Oreochromis niloticus: one gene and its partner. The protein of the gene in region 2 interacts with the protein of the main gene of each other region in a pairwise test. Links are inferred from orthologs where the notes say so. Each region holds a gene or a part of one and is shown on either strand. Other genes may lie near its edges. The genes, in order: ccnb1ip1 and prkaa2.

Region 1 (10,446 bases), on a different chromosome or scaffold from region 2:
ACATATGTATGGTTTGAACAGGAAATAAACAGTGCACAAAAAAAGGGCAAACGTCTCCTGCTAAAGTGAGTACAGCAGAACAGAGGAGAGTAACATGGATAACTGCAGACTGCTGCTCTCAGTGCTTCCTGATGAAGGGCCGGCATTTATCCCTGCCAGGGGAGCTGAACTGGAAGAAGGTCTTTCCTCCATCAGCCTCCACGGTGGACAAGAATCGACCGTCCCCTTCAGGGCCCAGGGACAGGAACGGAGGGCTCCTCTGAGGAGTCGCATGCTGAGCCACCCCTGAGTGACACACACAGGAGGTTGATGGATGTCTTTCATTGTTATTCTCACTAAAAAATTCCCTTACACAGACATTCAGCTCATTACTCCTGCTGTTCTTTCCTGATGACAAAGTCTTTTTGATAAAAGCCCTGTCTTCCTTCGTTGCCATTAAGCATTATTTTTTTACCCCGATTCCTTCCTGTTCTCATTCATCAACGTGAGCACAATGTGAAAGCTGATTTTATGAAAGCACAAAGTCTTTATTTATCTCTCTTTTCTGAACATAAGCGATATATTACTATGGATTTTAGTAGTTTGTCTGCCAAACTTTAAGTGCAGGTAATAGAGGCCATAATGACATCTTCACATTGTTTGTGTACTCAGTCAATAACAAAAACTTACTACTTACTACTACTTACCTAACAAGATTTACTAATAATGCCTTTAAAATTTAGGCATTATTAGTAAATGCTGTTAGGTAACACTTTTAGAAAGCATATATTATATATTATTATATCATTATTATTAACAGAAGTTGTTTATTGTATCATATATTATTAGCCCCGTGAAAAACTGACCTTTTTATTGAGCCATTGCACGGACCACTACTGTGCAATTATGTGTTTTAACTTGTTATGTTCAAAGTTTGTAAAATCAAGTTAAAACTGAGGGTTATCTTCCAATTTACACACAGTTTAACACAATTTAACAAAGCTATTGCAGTGTTTCCGAAGCAGAGTGAGAAACACATCAAGAAATTCAAAGAGAGCCACACAAAGCAAGCCTGGCAGAGATAGGAAGCAAAATGTTTAATATAAGTCTCTGAAAAGAAAACTGGTACGAGATGTGACTAAAGACCTCAGAACAACTCTAAAGACACAAGGGAATGACTTTGCTAAGTCTGGAAATTTAGTTTAGTGCCTGCACAGGAATGGACTGCAAGGTTGCAGACCGAGAAAAACTGAATTTCTGCAGAAGAGACACCTTCAAGCCAAAATGAAGTAAGTAAGGACAACCTGGAGAAAAATTATTGCTACTGGAGGCGCATCCTTTGGCCACAGAGATGCTGCTTATGTTTGGAGAAAGCAGGAAGAGGCGTTTAAGCCAAAGAACATGGTCTACACAGTGAAACATGGTGGAGGAAGTATTATGCTTTATGGATGCTTTAGTACATCCGGAACTGGGAATCTCATCAATGTGGTAGGAATCATGAAGAAAGGACACATGAAGACTTTGAAAGAAAACCTCAAGCAATCAGCAGCAAAACTGGATCTGTATCGTCAATTTGTCTTACAACACGACAACGACCTAAAACATAGTTTGCTCCTGGTCAAGGACGACCCCCAGATAACCAAAGTGAACGTCACTGACTTGCCTGCACAAAGCATAAGACCAAGGTTCATGCCAGAAGACCAGCAAATCTGGAGAGGTTTTTGAGATGTGCCAAAGAAGAATGGGCTGGGACAGCTCAGGACATGTGTGTGAGACTTAATAAAACTAGCATGGTTGGAAAAGCTGTGTTAAAAATTCCCTGCACTTGGTAAATACTGATAGGGGGGCTAAAATTCTGTCATTTGTGATTAAGCATCAATGCTGCTGTTCATATTTGGAAACAATATTATGGTTTGACCTTTAAAAGTGAAAATAACTAGTCATGTGTTTGTCCATTGTCTAAACTAGTTGCCAAGCCTTCATCTCTGTCCAACCATGCACCTTTAAAAACGACAAATGAACTACAATGTGCTGATATTACCGGCATTATTATCAGCGTTGTAGTCTTGATGTCCCATTTGTTGCTCTGTATGTCTTCCTCCAGCACCCACCACCATGCTACGCATCCTCAGAGAGTCGTACAGCCCCTGTAGTTTCTGGTACTGCCGGTTTCTCTGCATCAGCTTCTCAGACATCTCGCTGTAATTCCTCTTGTACTCGTCCATCATCTGGCCATCAGGATACAGAGAAATCTTGTTTTACTCTATGTATGTCTTCAAGATTCACAGTTAAGACGACCACTGGCCGTGCTCCCTGTTATTTTACATCTTAGCCTTTGAAGCTATTTTACACCAGGTTACAAGTTTAGTGCATTAATGTCTTGTGTGGTGGTGAGAGTTGTGTCATTTACTTTCTTCAGGGAGGCGATTTCTCCTTTCAAGGCAGTAAGCTCCATTTCTCTGCTCTGGTTCTGCTGAGTCAGGAACTTCTCCATCTGCTTCAGCTGTGATTCGGCCCGTGACAGACTGTACTCTTGATAGATACGCTCTTGATGCACCTGCACACACCAAGACTTACACGCTACACAAGATCTGACTGACATAAATGGACCATCAGGGTTTATATACGAGGAAGGAAACGGCCAGCTGAGCACCTCAGAATCAGCTGATTGTTTACCAACTCACCTTTTTCATCATTTTAATTCTTTAAATAAACAGAATCTCAAATTTAACATGTATCAAGAGTTAAATAATTATATTAGAAAAAGGGGACGAACCACAGATAGAAAATTATCCTGGTTTCAAACATAGATAAAAAGAGACCACTTACATTCTGTAACTTGTTTTGATCAGATGGGTAGGACATCATTACATATGCTAATGCTAGTTTACGAATAAAAAATGTTATTTTTCTGGGATGATGTGGGAGCTTCTCTCACATTTGTCTGATTTTGTATTGATTGTTCACATGGAGATACTTGACCTGATAGCTCCAGAAGGCCAGAGCACGGGAACTGATGTCCAGCACTATGTCTGGTCGCAGACCTGTCAGCACCATGGCTTTATACTCCTCAGAGGGTGACAGCTCCATCCTCACAACGTCCAGCTTTCCAGACAGTGCAGACGAGCACGCAGGGCAGATGACGGGAGAACGGCTGAACTTCTCAGATCCGTGCTGATCGCAGAAAACATGTGAGCACGCTGTGACCCAAGCGAAGGCGCTCAGCTTAGCGCGACACTTTGGGAAATTACACAGGAGGGTGTCATCGCAGATAGACATGCCTTTGTAAAGGACAGTGAACAGTCATTCAGAGAAAAAAACTACAAAGCAAAAACAAGATGTGCAAAGATTAACAATCAAATTTCCGTATTTATTTTTATATTGTTTTATATTTAAAAATGTATTTTGTAACACCAGGCCCAATGCAATGCAGGAGTAATTTGGTCTTTGTTTGAACTACTTTAATCACAATCAGACATTATTTTAGAGGTCTACATATTACCTAAATCCTAAACCTTTGTATTAAAAACAAGGTGGACAATGGTTTTTAGTAATACAGCTGCAGCTGGCCTTAACCTACAACATTTTGGTACTTTATAGCAGCTCATTTATTACATGTTTAAAGTGTTATGTTCACATATTCCCACAAATTGTTTTTATCAAGTTTTTTGCTTTTGGTACGCAAAAAACGGTTCAGCTAAGCTAAGCTACAGTAACTGTATGGGGGCTAAGATAACTCTATAGATCCCACGCTGGATAAATGTACTTTTTACATCAGTTCAGTGGAATAAAGCAAAGGTTATTATTTGTGAAACCATTTGCTATCTAATTTCTAGTGGCTTATAATATATATTTATGAAAAACGAAAGCTGTTAAAATACAGTTTTGTTGTATAAAACGTAAAAGCTCTGCTACCCAAAACCGAGCAGCATTATCGACATTAGATGCTAGCACTAGAAGGTTAGCTAGTAAAAGCCTGAAGCTCTCTGCACTTGCTAATAACAAGCTCGTTAAAGTGTCATGTCAACCCTTTTTCCTTTAGCAGATTAATAAAAAATCTATACTTTTCACATTATACACACGTACCTTAACACAACCCTAAAACACTGGTAAAAATGGCTAGTTTCAAAGATCAAAGCCTACCGTTACTCTGAAGATGACCCCGGCAAGTGACATCACTGTTGAAATCTGATTGGCTGATACAGTTCAAGCTCTACCAATCACGATGGCAAAATCTTTACACTACAACTTAAGAACTTTAGAATAACTCACAAAGTTAGGGCCAAACTTTTAATGTAAATCTCAAGCAGGATTCGTGTTATATTTTATTATTATTATTTTTATAATATAAATCCAGTGAAGCCCTACAAACTGTGGTGTGGAAAAATAAACAAACAAATAAATAAAAATTAGGCCTACATTACCATTGGTAGCTACCACACTAAGCTACAGTAAGTTCAATTCTGAATTTGTAGAAGAAGAGGATGACCCCACTCTACTTTTTCAGATTGTGTGCAGCAAGAATGTTGGAAGTGCCATCTACTTTGCTGTTGTGTGCTTGGAAGGCAGCATCAATCCCAGAGATGGCAGCAGGATATACAAACTGATTCAGAAGGCAGGAACCATCGTTGGCAACAAGTGGTCACTGAACAAACTGCTCTCCATAGTGGCAAACCCATCTCGCCTACTCCACTCCACAGTACTGAGCCAGCAGAACTCATTCTCTCTCAGACTTGCTCAATCCGCCTGCCGTAAAGAACACTTCCTACCTCATTCCTGCCATTCTCTGTAAAACTGTACAAAAACGCTTCTTTCTGAGGCAGGTGAGCACACCTGTCAGGCATAAGATTCCACACACATAAAACAATATGTATTATACCATCTTGCAGGTGTCTCTATGTAATAAAGCAGTAATGGAAATAAATATAACATTTCAGTTACTATACTTCACTGTCTAACACTATGAAGCCACATAGCGCATATATTGGCAAAAACATATATAGTGCCTTTTTGAATTCATGTTTTTTTTTTTGTTTTTTTTTTTGTAGCTGCTTTTACTGGCACAAGTATTTCTGCTTCAAGGCTTCCTTATAAAAGGGACATAAATAAAAAAACAACAACAATGATAATGATAATGTGATCTGGATATCAGTGAGGGAACCATTAATGCCAGAGATGATATATTATGTGCCATCTGTTGGTATCCTGGATTTCAGGAAGGACCATGCTTGTTTCAGCATAATAATAACAACAACAACAACAATAATAATAATAATGATAATAATAATAACAATAATAATAATGATAATGATAATAATGGTTTTACATTTTACAGTGTCCTAACTTTTTTTCTTTCTTTCTTTCTTTTTCTTTCTTTTCGAAATAGTGCCGGATTTCAAAGTGACGTGAAAAAGCTTGACTAAAGTTCATCAATGTGAGCTTAAACTGTTAAACTCTGAATGGCAGGCATTTCCTCAAAATCAAATACTGCCCATTTTCCCTACACAGCCTCTGAGCGGACAGTCTATATGCTTTATGTGAGACACCTACTTAAATATGGCCCCCTTCCTCCTCCGCCACCACTTTTTTTTCTCCCCCTCTCCTGCTTTTATCCATTTCTCCACGTGGTACAGGAGTAAAGGCAGGGGGTGAAAGAGGGGCATTGTGTTGTGCAGCAGCGGGTCCGGGGGTTCATAGTGAGAGAGGGGAGATGCTCACTCAACTGTGTCCAGCACGCCATTGTCAAAGATTCCCATCTATTCTCTGCCTTTTAAATAGAGCTCCAGTGTAAGATGCTTTTTTTGGGTGGTGGTGATGGTGCTGGGGGTGGGTATTATGCGCTCGGTGATAACACACACGAATTACATGCATGCATGTGGAATGGATGTGTGGCCCCACTTGCAAACATTAGCCGCTCGCTGCACTGTTGTTGATAATTGGCCCCGAGGAAATCAAAGGCTACATCTCGCCTATCTACACTTCTCAGCTCAATGCTGGGAAGGCAGATTTTTGACTCACGCTGACGGAAACCACCTGCCAGCTTGACTTTATTATTCTGACGAGGATCAAAGTATAGGTGCAGAGCGCACGGGAGGACCGAGGCATGGCACCTGATTCCTAAGTTACCTGTTGAATTAGTTTTACGCGTGTTACTGCATCTTAATCAGAGCCATCATCGTCTCTCTCTCTCTCTCTCTCTCTCTCTCGCACTCTCTCTCTCTTGCTGCAATGATTAAAACATTTATCTCGAACAAAAAGGCCACATCTTACGCCCGTTTTAATTTGTTTTTTAGACATCCAACGGGCTTTGACGCCATTGTCGGTTTTTTATTGAAAGTTTATGGCTGCAGCGTGAGAGTGTTAAGAAAAATAAAGCTGAGGGGGGGCGAGATAGAGAGAAAAAGAGAACCGGGGAGGCTGTGTGTTGCACGCCATTCAAATGCAAATATCATAGAACAAGGAGTGGTTCTGTGTGCGTGTGTGTATATGGTGTGTATGTGTGACTGTGTGTGCGCTCCCTGTATGTGCATGCAGTGGGGCAGCAGTGGGAGAGGAGGGGCGCAAATTGGACAAGTTTTTTTGGGGGGTAGAAGAGACTTTAGAAAACAGCCACACACACGGCAAGCTTCATGTGACACGGTGCAGCCCGGCGGATTTCCAAACATCACTTTTTCTTTTTGGAACTTTGTTCCATGAAAGACCCGCTCTTTCAAAACTCCCCCTTTCTTCTTCTTCTTCTTCTTTCTTTTTTAAAGCCAAGGACTTGCAACACATCTTAAATTTGGATGCTTTCGGAAGCTCGTCCAAGTGCGCAAGAAAAAAAACGTGCCTTGTGCCATTGAACCGACGGATGCCCCCCTCTCCGTCTGACTCGCCGTGAATCATGTCACGCCGGAAACAGAAGAGACCCCAGCATCTCGTTAACGCGGATCCAGGGGGCCCGAGGCTGCAGTCGCACGGTGAGAAAACATGTTTACGAGTGTTCGTGCGCTTTTTATTTTTGGACGTTTGTGTTTCTTTCTTTCTTTCTTTCTTTCTTTCTTTCTTTCTTTCTTTCTTTCTTTCTTTCTTTTTGTTAGATCAAAGCTGCATAAGATTGATATAAACAACATCGCTCACAGGCTACAAGCTGCTTGTGAAATTCACTAAAAGAACTTAAATCTTTAAATACATTTACCAACGCAAAAGTTAGATTTTAAGACACAAGCGGGTTTTCTTTGATTCCTTTTCTCTAACTTTTGCAAGTTCCTGTTTGCATTTGCATTCCGACAAATGCACCTGATTTAACTGACTGAAAAAAAGTGCCACCTCACAGTTCTGCTTACTAGCTTAGTGCAATGGACCCCACTTATAAATGAGACCTTGGGCACTTTGGTGGGGCCAAAAAACTTGCTCTTGTGAGTAGGATTAACTAACATACATCTGTGGCCGTTTTCGTGTGCTGTTCATCCTCTCGGAGACCAACAGGCTGCTCAGCACTGACTGCTGGAGGGCTTTGATTAGTATGGAGAACTCTCTTACTTCTTCACAATAAGGTGCAATAGGGTGGGGGTGGGGGGCAGTGGTTTTTTTTGGTAAAGATTAATCTTCCGCCCTTTCTATTCTGATCTTCTTTTGCTCTTCATCCACGCTTTTCTTCCTTATGTGCCCCTCTCCCCCTCATTTTTCCACCTTTCTTAATACAGCACCCCCCCCTCCCCTTTCTTTGCTCCTTCTTTCTCACCCTTTAGCCCTATTGACTGTATACTCCTAACACGGGGGGGCGGGGTTGAAAACATTTCAGAGAATATGGAGGTTTTTGTGACATCATTAGTGGGATATAGCTTCTGATGCATGCACCAGCTCCCCTGGGGCAAACTCTGACAATTAATAGTGGAAGTTTTAGTTTGAGGCTTATCTGCTTGCAGGTTTGTAGGGAAGGAGTTTCGCTTGAGGTACAGTCTTTCATTCCATCACTGTCTCTCCAGGAGGGAGTAGTTAGTTTGTCTCTCCATTGTTGTTACCCTCCCCCTCATTTCTTTTTCTTTTTTACTCTTTCTCACTCCGTGCTCAAGATTTCTGAAAGAATTTGACCCCTGAGCGCCAGAGGTCAGATTAGTTGACCAATCAGAGTGTGTGGACAGTGCCCAGAACCCTTAGCTTGGCCTGACCCTTGACCTCCACTGTGACGTAAGGCGGGGGAGGGTGAATAGGGAGATGAAAGACGTAACCGCTGTAGGGAGTGGGTTAAGAGGGGCTATGGGTTGTCTTGGTGATGCCCATTGTCCTCTAAAATGTGTTGCTATAGCAGCAAGGTGGTCTGTGAGCTTTTTTTTTTGTATGTGTGTGCACAAGATGTTTGAGGAGTTTTACTCCGGAGAGCACAGATTGAGACAAGATATCACAAAGACTCGTGGACGGTTGAGTTTCTTGTTTATTTGCATGTTCAAGGCCACTTCCCAGCAGGAATTTCTTTTGATGTTGTAACTGTATCTTTTGGTATGTAGACAAATTTTTTTAAAACTAAATTCATAAACAATAACTGGAGGCAAAGGAACAAACAGAGTTCAGATAAATTCACAAAGCTGGATATTTCGGTTGATATCGGAGCTTTGTCAAATAAACATGCAGGTTTAAAAAAAAAAAAAACAACCCTCATCATTCTTCTTTTTCTTCCTCAGATGACCATCTGGGCTTAAAGTCACCATCCACATCTCTCGGCTCAGAAGTGACCTCATCAGGATCCTCCTCCTCCTCATCCCCCACATCTCTTCAAGATTGCCAGCCGCCTCTGGCCCCTCGCCCATCCCCTGGAGGGCTCCACGCGCCCTCCTTACCCAGCGAGAGCTCGCCTCCTCCCACTGGCCCAGCCACATCGCCCCCTTCACAACATCTCTTCCCAACACCCACTCCTCCCTCTCCCCGGACTTCCCTCACCCGTCGCTGTCTTCCCAGACTCACTCGCCTCCCCCCCTGGGTCAGACCTCTGGTTCCCACAGCCAAGGGAACTCTCACTCCACCATGACCTCCCCGCAGACTGGAAGTTCAGCCACCACCACTACCTCCACCTCCTCTTCCTCCTCCTCTTCCCAGTGTGTGCCACCTCACCGTGAAAGCTCAAGTCCAGGTCAACAGCAGGCTACCAGCTCACCAGGGGAGCAGGGACAGATCCAGGTCCCTCCCACGCTGGCGGTGCTCTTAGAGGAGCTGAGGGTTTTACAGCAGCGCCAAATCCACCAGATGCAGATAACAGAAGAGATCTGCAGGCATGTTCTGAGGCTCGGAGGAGCCGTCTTTGGCCAGGACAACAATGCACAAGCCAGTGGAACGGAAAGCAACCAGAAACCTAATGGAGCGGCATCTTCATCCCCAACACATCCTTCCACTGCCACTCCAGTCACCACAGCCTCGTCACTTTTGACTGGCCTTCCATCAGCTCTCTTCCCCCAACCGGCTGTCTCCAAGTCAGGCGCTTCACACAACAACAGCAGCAGAGCTGCATCTTCCTCTACCTCATCCTCATTATCATCTTCTTCCTCATCTATTTCATCCACTATCAGCTCCTCTGTTGCCTCCCTACACCCCTTGTCCCTTTCGCTGGGCCTGCCACCGCGCTACCTCCATGAAAAATCATCTAACACCTCTTCATTCGCTCACAGTAATGGTGTCAGCTTCCCAACTCCTTCACTTCCTCCCACCAGCCATCCCCAGGACCTCCAGTCCAGCTCCTCTCTTACCTCTGCCTCCTCATCAGGACGCCCTCAGCACATCTGCCGCTTTTGTGGGAAGGTGCTGAGCAGCGACTCGTCCCTGCAGATCCACCTGAGGTCCCATACAGGGGAAAGGCCCTACCAGTGTCCAGTCTGCCTGAGCCGTTTCACAACCAGGGGGAACCTTAAAGCTCATTTCCTGCGACACAGAGAGCAGAACCCAGAGCTGTCGCTCTCCCTGCTGCCCCCAGCGCTATCAGAGCAGACGCAGGGCGGATCGGCCACAGGTAGCATCCAGAGGAGGCGCAAACGGCGAGCGGATGATGATGAAACATTTAACGGAGTGAAAGGAAGCGTTCCCGGCATGACAGAGAGCATGGCTTTAGGATTCCTGTCCAGTGGCTCGGCTCGGGCCTCGCCTTCCTCCCTACCTCTGCCCCCCTCTGTGGACATGGCTCTGCTGTCCACAGCCCATTCGCTGCTACAGCTGAACAGAGCTTCAGCGGCAGCTGCTGCAAGCGCATCCAGCAGTGTGCTCCCATCTTCCTCTTCGTCATCTTCCTCCTCTGTGGGCAGCCAGTTTAAAGGAGCAAAGCAGCAGCGCTTTGACGAAAACACTCCTCCTCACTCGAGCCTCCATTCAGCCTCGCCGTACTCCCAGCTGGCTCACCTGCCTAAGATTCTCTTCCCTGGAGGTACTTCCCCTCACCACCTCGCGCTTCTCCGGCCACCGGGACACCCATCCGCCTCCCACCTCACTTCGCCTCATCAGCTACCC
Region 2 (10,494 bases):
AATTACTTTCACATAAACTGACTTCATCTAAGTTTTTGAAAGTTTGCCCATGTTTAACACGAGCATCCACTATTATAATGTAATATGATGTAATGTATACATGACAAAACAAGGAGAGACGTTGTAAGTCGCACTTGAAAACAGAAGCACATGTTTAGGAACATAGTTTAAATGTGCATTTTAAGTTAATTAAAATATAGATACCTACTCAAAATGACAGTAGTAAGAAGCTTATATTTAAAGCTAAAGCAAGACCATATAGTTTATAATATATATAATGTGAAGGATGTGGATTTAAATAATGTGAAAAACTACAGTCAACACAAAGTTAAGTATAAATACACTCAGCTATTTTTAAGAGCAAGTCTACCTGGATTACTGCACAAGCCCAGGAAACAAACCATCATCAGATTTTTGCTTGATATGTTTATCAAATATATGCAACAATTGCTTTTAAACTGTCAGAACTGTTTAACCAGTCAGGCTTCTGTTTAGTCAGCTAACCATGCCACTGGATAATAAAAGAATTTCGGATGATTCATTGACCACTGTACTCAGCCAGGCTGAAATCTACCAGCAAGATAATAGAAGAATGTCATCTTACCCGTCCATTCTTGCAGATGTAATCAAACAGCTCGCCTCCCGACACATACTCCATGACCATGAAAAAATCTGTCGGTGTGCTTATGACCTGGTACCTGACAACAACAACAAAAAACCCCAAACTGTTGTATTTCAATGAACTTTTAATACATTCATTAGTTGATTTCACCTTCTATCTTCTATTTTCACCTTTTATTCTCAAAAATTAAAAGTGTGATCACTTAGACATGTCCCTTTTTTAGGTAGATTAATTTTTAATGGAAATAACATTAAAATAATTAAAACTCTTTTTCCTGACAAAGTCAGTAATGAAATCATTAATTAAAAATTACATGTTTTTAATTGAATCGCTAGAGAGGCGTATAGCCACCTCTGTCCAGTTTTTTGAGTATATCAGGAAAAGATTATGATGGGCAAAAGACATTAGCAGAAGGATATATGGCTTTTTCTTTGCAACTCTGCCTACAAGGGAGGCCCCGGGAGCTGCTTCTTCACTGCTGATCCCAGAAATAGTATTTTGTGGTTACCAATTAGCGAAGCTGCCAGTTTAGGACCCATGAGGTGTCTGTTTCTGAAAATAGAGTGTCTGATGCATTTGTTTCCTTGCTCTGTGTTGCAGGCCTCTCATTCCTCTTTCTATTCAGGTTCAGGTTTTTGTGGTTTTATGTAGGGGGTAGGACACACCTTTCTATGGCATCTTCAGTTTTCACAATTTCCCACAAGGAATAGCTTTCATTTCCCTATTAAGATGGCTTTCAAAATAAAAGTCACTTTTAATTCTCGAGCAGGCAAGAGTTGATGTTCCAGTAACTCAGCTAACCAAATGAATTGTTTCTTTAATCAACACAGCAGTTATCAGATGTGCTATCATATTTGGAGAGGTTTCTTCTCATGATCATTTCTGTAACTTGTGCAACAGGACACAGGAGTGATTGTTGCTATTAAAAATCATCAGTCAGTCATATTTGTCATTCATGACATTTCTGATTAATTTACTGGAAATAAGAACAAATGTGCTTTTCTTTCAAAACAAGGACACAGATGAGTGAACCCGAATGTCTAAACCTATATCGTCTACATAAACAATACACAGCATTAGCACACAGAAACAAAGGCACGGCAAGGCTGTGATATTGGGTTGCTTTCATAAAGGTCAGGTATGTTAAATTGCAGGCACAATTTCATGAATGGTTGCCGGTGGTAGAATATAAACTTTATCACAATCTATTTCAATCCTGTCAAGCTGGGTGAAGCCTAACACCACAGGGACTATGGGAGGAGAAACATTAAGACAAATAACTTCTTTTCTTCTAACAGTTGAGAGTGTGGCAGCTTTTATAGTCATGGTCGGTATGTTAAACTGCTTCCATGTCTGTACAAGAAGTGTACACAGTGTGCATGTGTTTATTATTGTATATGTCTCTGACACTGACTTCCACAGCACTCCAGCTTATGACCTGACAACTCGCATATCTGCCATTGCTTAGAGTTTTACAGTGGACTAACCCTAACCCTAGACTAAAAATATCACAAACAATGTTGAGAGGGACGGACAGACATGGACTAACAAGGTGAAAGAGGCCAGGGAGATAGAAGGAAAGAGAAAGAAGGACAACAAAGACACGGAAAGACCCATGAGGAGAGAGGGATTTAGACAATATCCACCATCTTAACTGGAGATTTGTCCTAGCCAGAGCACATTTCTTTATCTAGCTCAAAGCTTGTGTGCGTGCATTGGTATGTTTGTGTGTTTTACCTCCTGTGAGCCTTGTGGGCATGCTCAGTAGAGTACAGCTCTAGAAAACACGTGAACAAGCAAAGCATGCCACAACACACAGCAAAGAACCCACGTTACAACAAGCAATAATAAAAGAGAGCCCAGTTATCTCTCTGCAAAGCCTGTCAGTCTTCACTGAGAGTCTTCAATCTGACAGACGGATGTGTCGTCTTTCTCCACTTACAGCTTGATGATGTGTGGGTGTCTGAACAGCTTAAGATTCTGGATCTCTCGTTTGATCTTCCCCACAACATCGAGACTACGGATCTTCTGTCTGTTCAGGATCTTCACAGCCACTTTATGGCCTGTCAACTGATGCTCACCAACTAAAAACAACAGAATGCAGACATGAAAGAGACAGACCACAGAGGCTAAAAAAATTAATAAAAAATAAATAAATCACATAACCTACTACATAAGCAGCTTGGTGTGGATTAAAAGGGTTACACTTTGATTTGGAGTCCTGTTGCGTAGGAAGCTCGCACGAAGTAGTGAATGAACTGTGTTTGTTATATTGAGCTTTTGCTCTCTTTTGTAACCCCTATTTTCTTTCCATGCGTTTGTTTATAGTGTTGGAGCTATCTGCCTGCTGGAGGCTCTGAAACCAAGCTGTTATTGCAGCTGCCAAACACTGCACACGAAACTCAGAATCAGATACGAACTGGGGCATGAACTGCTCCACAACTAACACACAAGCAGTAACCTGAAACGAGCAAGCATTACATATACACATACAGTCATTTTGTATTCATTCACACATGACTTGACACAGATTTTCACACTCCTAGTGGTTTGGGAGTGTGAGCAAAATCATTTTCCTTAATAATGATGTTCAGAAATAGCCATGGTTTCAAATGCTTTAGCAGCACACACAAGAAACAGGCGGGGTGAGCATGGAGTTAAAGCTCACAAGGTCATGCTGAGTGTCAGAGAACTAGCGAAGGCAACCCTAATAATAATCTGTTATATGCATCCTTTTGAAGCTTTAAGATTGTCTAGGGTTTGCCCGACTTGACAAGCACTTAACAAGCTACCACCGGCTAGCAGAGAATAACACATCGGACTAGCTTGCAAACATTAATGTCAGTTCAACGTTAGGTTCCCACGGTGGGTCAAACGGTGAGCTTCAGACGTCCTTTGTCGCCAGACAGGGCAAAGGACAGCCACCACCGCACAGTCCTTATTACTTAACGTTATACCATAATAATGCGAGTGTGACTGTGCATCTCCGTGCATCCAGGTTTTATCACCTCCCATAGCTGATAACAGCAGCTACTGAAGGGGGCTTCGGTGAAAGAATTTGACTTTGAAGCGGTCGGATTCTCAGACTACAGTACGTTTAAAATCCAGTCTGTTGCCGTGGTTAAACCGCTCAGCTACGCCAACTGCTTCACTGACCACCAGCAAGTTGAACGCGGAGCGTTAAAGAGATGGGAGGGGAGGGGGGCACAGCGACTACTTGACATTAACTACTCCAACTGAAGACACAAACGTACACATGAAGCCTGGCATGACACAGAAACAGGACTTAACTCTTCACTTTGCCGAATGTCCCCACTCCGAGCGTGTCGCCGAGGATGTAATGGCCGATCTTTACCCTGCCTTCGTGTTTCTGTTGTTGCCTCTCTGCCATCTTCTCCGTTACCGACGGCTTGGATCGCTCGGGGAGGTGGGAGCACTGCCTGCCTGGCCTGTGCAGCGCACGGGGGCGGGGAGGAGGGGGCGGGGCACTTCACAGTGAAGAATCACCAACGGCGGAAAACGCGCGCACGCACGCGAATTATCCCTCCAAGAACCAGGCGCGCTCTCCCACCTACCTTGCACGGAGCGACCGACGGGGTGTTATGTTGAGTTTAGTAGCCCAGTCAAATACCAACCCTCACGGTCTAAACACAGTAACACCTGTCTGCTACATGGGTGTGTAAGGTATGTAACGTTTGCGTATAGACCGTTATTAAACCAGTCCTGCAATAAATATAGACTATCAATATTTATAAAATCGTATATATATTTAATTTCTTAAATTTCGTGAGTGATTATTAGTATGGGTATCTGTTGTTTTAAGTAAATTGATTTTTTTTTCTTCATTATTCATAAATGCACTCTGGTGCAGTAACACAAGCGTCATTATTTCTGTTGTCAAGAATCTTACAGACTGCAATAAAAGACCAGTACTTGCATATTATGCACAAAACTGACCCTGGAAGATCCCGTACATTATTGCCTTAATTCAAGTAAGGGACTGAAAAGTAACGCTACCCAGTCTTTACATTTACATATCTAACGCTGGTGTGTGCATATCGTCGTTTCACAAATTACGTATTAGATTTTAATAACCTGGTTAAAGAAAATAGGTAGCCATGACAATTTTAGAAAACTTAAAAAAGAAAGAAAGAAAGAAAAAAGGACAAAGTTGAGCTGTTCGGATTTCACCACTAGATGGCAGTATACGCATGATTCATCAATACCTGGTATGAGTTTCGGATTTCGTTCTGCTGCTATGTTCTGCGTATGTTCAATACGCAACAAGCAAGCAATGTTTGTTTATATAGCCATTTCCCCGGACAAAAACCACATCGAAAGGAATCTAGGACAAAACAACAATGTGAAAAAAGAGGAAACGGGAATACGATGAAAATACACAAAATAACACAAGGCTCGAGCTTCTCAAATTGGACAACAAATAGTGTTCGCTCACCAACATATTATATTACATTATGTTATATTATAAGTTTTTTTTTAAATTAAACATATAAAAAATCGTCTGGAAACAAAAATTTCCTGAAGTTAAAAAAGATTAAAATCACGAATTACACACTTCCCGACTTTGTCTCTGTACTGGACAAATATATATAAAGTTTCGACACATTTTGCACATGAAAAACAAATATCAATCTTTTAATTAACAATTGAACTTTAATTGTTACAATATTATATATTTTTTTATCTTTTAAAATAAATTCTTTGTCGAAAATTACAACAACAAAAAAAACTCTAGCACTATATACTGGAACATATTCTCTTTATTTTGTCTGTCCAAGAACAAAGATTTTTAATAGTCTCAACTCAAAAGCGCTTCGGTTGTTTCGCGCCTGTTACCGTGAGTAACCGCTAGGAGTAGTTTTTCCGTCTGTCCACTGCTGGGCTCCACTCTTCCAAGTTTTTCAAGCAGGGATGGAGACGAGAGGAGGAGGGCTGCTGTAGGAACTAAGAGAGCGGGGGGAGGAGGAGGAGAAGAAGGATTGATATAACAAGAGCGGCTGTCGATGCGCAACGCAAGTCTCACTCCAAGTCTTTGAAACAAGACAGATAAAGAGGAGCGGGCTTTCCATTCAGTACCAGTGCAGGCAAATTTTTTTTAAACTAAGTTCGTGCCGCGGGTCCGTTCTCCATTTAGCCGACTACTCATCTGACTTTTAATTATTTTGTAAAAGTGAAATACGAGAGAGCGAGTCATAAACAGATCAGACACTCCGAGAGAGCTGCGAGTTGGGAAGTTTGTTTCCCGTTGCTTTGCATGACATTTCTTCCAAGGACTTGAGAGCCTGACAGAGTTTCTTCACAGACCGTGCAGTGTGGGATTTTGAACTGAAACGGGGACTCATCAAATGCAAAATTACATGTATGAGAAAGCAATGGCTCAAGAGACAAGGAACGGAGGAACCTCTACGTTAAATAACAACAATGGTGTTGACAACAGTAAGAAGAAGGTGCTAATAGTGCTCGATGTCTTCTGCCTTCTACTTGGTAAGTTCACAGATACGTTTACACGATGCTTTCCTCTCTGTTACCATTTAAACTGCGTATCTCACATCAGCTGTTGTAGAGTACATGCACAAAAAACTGAAGACAGAAACTTCTGCACATTGCACTCACAATAAAAGCCCTCTTTAGAATAGATAAACAGTGCCCGCCTTTTCTCAAGTTTGCCAATAAGAGTATTATCATTTTAAAAGTTGCCCGTTATCTGTAACTGCAAAACAACTTAAGCTGCAACATCCCCTTATCATCCAGTTCCAACGCAACACCCCCGGGCAGTGGAAGTGGCGAACAAAAAAATAAAATAAAAAAATCAAACAACATTTCAGGAGTTCGCACTTTTAATTTTCTTTAATTCAACCCAGAATCACAATCAGTTTGTAAACTGAGAAAAAGAGAAAACTGTTGTTGTTATCAAGACAGCTGACTGACTTCTCATCGGAGAGAACTGTCACCAGATAATATACTGATCATTTCAAAGTCCATGGAGTGTCACTGTAACTGATCAGTTGGTCCTAGTGCTCCTTGTCAACATGCCCGGGGCATAAATATTTTCAAGTGTTCGAACCTGCCCTTAAAAATAACCAGACAACACCCACCACTTCCCCCAGTCTGTTCTCTGATAACCATGATCATCTGACCCCAAATCAGATGAACATGTTATTCAGTGGGTTATTCAGTGGGCATCCCATGCAGATTCAGTGTGCTGCCTTTGTGTATGTGTGTCTGTGTGTGTGTGTTGCTTTGCTGGTTTGTTTTTGGCTGTTGTCACTGTAGCCCAGTCCTTTTAGTGTTGAGTGCCAGTGCCCCCCCCCCTCCTTCTTTTCACACTATTTTCATTCCCCCCATCTCCCCTTTCTCTTTTTTGGAAAAGGATTATGGGAGTTCTGCTTAACTTCTACACATTCACTCCCAGAATCTTGCCAATCCCTGGCCAGCTGCCCCTGATCTCTTCACTTCAAATTACTTTCTTTCTTTCTTTCTGGCTCTCTTTCTCCCTCTCTGTCCAGGGGAATGCGTGGAATAATTGCTTAAGCATGTGTTGTGGTAGGGGAATGCCTCTCCAATTTGAGTGAGGGATCGAAAAGTGGGACCAGTGGCTGACCGGGCTTTAGAGGAGCAGGTGGGAGACACACCAATAGTGCAATATAAAGGAACTAGTAAAGTACCAATGAAGTATGCAACACTACCACACAGGAACTGGATTGTATCATCCAGTATGTTACAAATGGTGCACATTAACTCCACATAAGTGCTGTGAGGTAGAAGCAAAGCTCGCTGACAAAGTTTTCCATTGGGTTTATACTAGTTTTCTTATTAAAGAACCCCAGACAGAGATACACTGTTTCATCTGCGTTCATATAACTGTAGATGAGCTTTGATCACATGTGGACTGAATTTCCTGCACAAACCAACTTCCTTTATTGGTTAAAGCTCTACAGACAGTTCTCCATTGCCTTGTTAGGACACCCACACACACTCACAGACACGCATGTATGCCTGTAAACTCACACAATGTATGTAAGAACACAGTAACAAATGGTTACAAAGATTCTCCTTTGTTATGCTAAACACAATCTGGCTGCTCAGTGATGATTGGTTGGCCCACTTCAGTGGTTTGGGGGGAGTTGCGGGTTGGTGCGAGGGGTGACTGGGGAGGGGGTTAAAAGAGAGGGAGAAGAGATCAGTAGAAAGGGAGGGTTATCAGGGCATCCTGAATGAGGAAGGAGGAATGCGGGTGTGTTGTCGAAGAGCTCAGCGGAATGCTTAATGGTTGGTGGCTTTTGTTCTGAGCGTGTTTATGGCTAAAAAGTAGTGTACACTACTAAAACTAGGAAATAGATAAATATCTCATTACCTTTAATTAGTTCCTATTCTGCCAGCTGGGCTCTACACGCAGAGTCTCTGCAGTTACATCTTCCTAACGGATGTTAATGTGCCCAACTGACACACCCTTAGGCGCAGATAATGAGTGTCTGCATAAAAGACATCTGAGGCCATCTATAGCTGCACACAAGGACAAAAGAAAACATGTTTACATGTTTAATGAAGAACCCATCCCAGTTGGTTTTGCTAAACAAAAATGATAATGCACAAGCACAGCAAGATTAGAAAGGCATTGAAAAAGCATACTCACATTCTCTCCAGCACTCAACTACCAAGACCGGGGTTACGGCATACAGTTTTGGCAGCTGAGCGCGACCATCATCTGCTGATTTCACTCTGGATCAGGTTCCACTCCTACAGAGCAGTCGAGTTGATTTAGCAACGCTATAAGGAGCGTGCACACAAACAGTATACACTCACTATAAATACACAAACTCGACCGCAGAATTTCGTATTCCCTTTTGGCGACTCACTGCCCAATAGTCTTCTCTTGGCTGTTTGAAAAAAAAAAAATGTTTATTGTGAGAACACTGCAACGAGACACAGACTAGAGCCCTCTGGAACCCAAGCATCCAAAAGTAGTCTCACTTAAACCATGATTAAGTTTTACACAATGCAAAGGGGATTATACATTATGTGTTTGCTTCTGCAGAACTGGTTTGGGATGGAGTGGTCTTTTTGTAAAACATAAACATGGATTGTCCGGGACTGGCTTCATTGACTCTATATATGCTTCTTTTAAAGGATCATGATCTATCTCCTTATTATGATCTAGGAGGCAAAAAAATATATAATGTTTTAAAACATTTAATTATGTGTTTATTGCAAAATTTGGAGCTCTGATACAGTCAGGTGTTCAGTGGTCTGCTTTTCCACAAATCACAGACAGGTAGCCAAGAAGAGCGTAACCTTTTGGCCTCGAGGAATCAGCTTCATAACTGGCCCCGGAGCGTTAATCCTTCTGTATTCGACTCCTGCGTTCCCATCAGCTGCTATAACATTACAGCAGTCAGTCACACAGCCTCTCATTAAAGTCAGAGAGGTTTAACCTCCACCTCTCCAGGCCTCAGCCACTTCAATCCTGAGCCGCTCTACAAATATTTTCGAGAATTTCACAAATTCTTCATCTGGCTGTACCTCTGTGCCCAAAGACTCTGGATGGGACATCTGGTGCAATTTTGGGAGTAAGTGAACCAGGGGGCATATAGAGTGTGTGTGTATATTGGAGCTCAGGAAAGGGTGGGAAACGGAAAGGTAGTGTCGGTCGGAGGTGGGTGTGGTTGTGAAATGAAATCCTGACTCTTTTTTTTTTCTCCTAGTCCATTTCCACATCTATCTCCATTCCTTCCCCCTGTTCCTTCTCTACCGGAGCCAGTCTTCTGTCTTCATAATTGTCCCAGAATAATAAGGGAAAAATCTATAATGAACAAAATAATATTAGAAGAATATAGATATGCATAGATTATACAGTCTGTGTCTGTTAGAAAACTATATTGAAGCAGCATGTGAATCCATCAAAGAGAAACTGAAACACAGGCTCCAATCCAAAGATGCTGACCTTAATCCAAGGGTAAATATTCTCAGGGATTCTGCACAAGTCTTTCAGAGGTGAGAGCCATGAACATGTTCTTTGAAATATATTTGGCTGGGATTTATTGGGATCTGTTTAAACATTAGGTGAAAGGTCAGAAAGAAAATAGACTCACATATGATCAATGTCTGCAATGCTCTCTGTGTGACATTAGTTACACTCATGTGTCAACCACAGCAGACGCTTAATAGACATGCACAGAAGAATATGTCTCAGGATTCAGTTTTGACAGTGATCAGATTGAGTGTTTATTGTGAGAACACTTTGCACATCACAACACAACATAGCTTGATTACTCGACTATACTTTTGCCGTTATGATATCTAAATGTTATCTGTGGCCAGCCTGTGATGAGTGTTTATGTTGGCGGCTTCGGGACAAGGTGAGGTTATGGCTCTTAAGAAGGTGATGAGTGTCCTCTGGCAGAGGATAAAGATCAGCAGATGTCCCTGATAACAGAAGCCATAGGGATACTATCTCTCCTAGATAAGATGCTAATATAATTGCACATTTTTGAGAAGATCTATGTTTTTTTTCGTGCGTGTTGAGATGAAGAGCACCGGTTGCATCAATGCCAGACAGGTCTGCAGCATTTCCCGACTGTCATTGTGACATGCGGCTGGTTTCTGCTGGTGCAAGAGTTAACCACCAAACCCCTGGGGTATGTGCCTTAGCAGGGCTGTGATTAGAGGTGCGTGGGTGTGAGCGTGTGCATGTGTGTCCTTTGGGATTCGGGAGTAAGAGAGAGAGCACCCAGAGCTGTCATTAAATGGACCATATAGCCTGAAGGGTGAAGCATTCTGTATTCACTCTGTGGGTAGCATGTGTGAGGCATGTGTGGCTCGATTTATAGACATGTGTCCCATGTGGCTCCCGT

Evidence for each region.
Region 1: the proteins of prkaa2 (region 2) and ccnb1ip1 interact in binary tests that used the Homo sapiens proteins (3 or more experiments, as listed by UniProt). The two-hybrid records come from large-scale screens. The link is inferred for Oreochromis niloticus from reciprocal best matches to the Homo sapiens genes PRKAA2 and CCNB1IP1.

Annotation. Positions count from the first base shown.
Region 1 is NC_031967.2:19,750,628-19,761,073, forward strand, and holds the start of ccnb1ip1 (E3 ubiquitin-protein ligase CCNB1IP1), read right to left. Parts: upstream 4,271-10,446; 5' UTR 4,123-4,270; exon of another isoform or gene 4,066-4,122; intron 3,261-4,065; 5' UTR 3,259-3,260; coding exon 2,962-3,258; intron 2,537-2,961; coding exon 2,390-2,536; intron 2,208-2,389; coding exon 2,021-2,207; intron 286-2,020; coding exon 119-285; 3' UTR 1-118. Other genes in the region: si:ch211-212k18.5 (sal-like protein 4), read left to right, coding at 8,980-10,446. UniProt on the Homo sapiens protein: Ubiquitin E3 ligase that acts as a limiting factor for crossing-over during meiosis: required during zygonema to limit the colocalization of RNF212 with MutS-gamma-associated recombination sites and thereby establish early differentiation of crossover and non-crossover sites.
Region 2 is NC_031986.2:38,374,099-38,384,592, reverse strand, and holds the start of prkaa2 (5'-AMP-activated protein kinase catalytic subunit alpha-2), read right to left. Parts: upstream 4,088-10,494; 5' UTR 4,014-4,087; coding exon 3,914-4,013; intron 2,707-3,913; coding exon 2,565-2,706; intron 699-2,564; coding exon 605-698; intron 1-604. Other genes in the region: plpp3 (phospholipid phosphatase 3), read left to right, coding at 5,989-6,127. UniProt on the Homo sapiens protein: Catalytic subunit of AMP-activated protein kinase (AMPK), an energy sensor protein kinase that plays a key role in regulating cellular energy metabolism.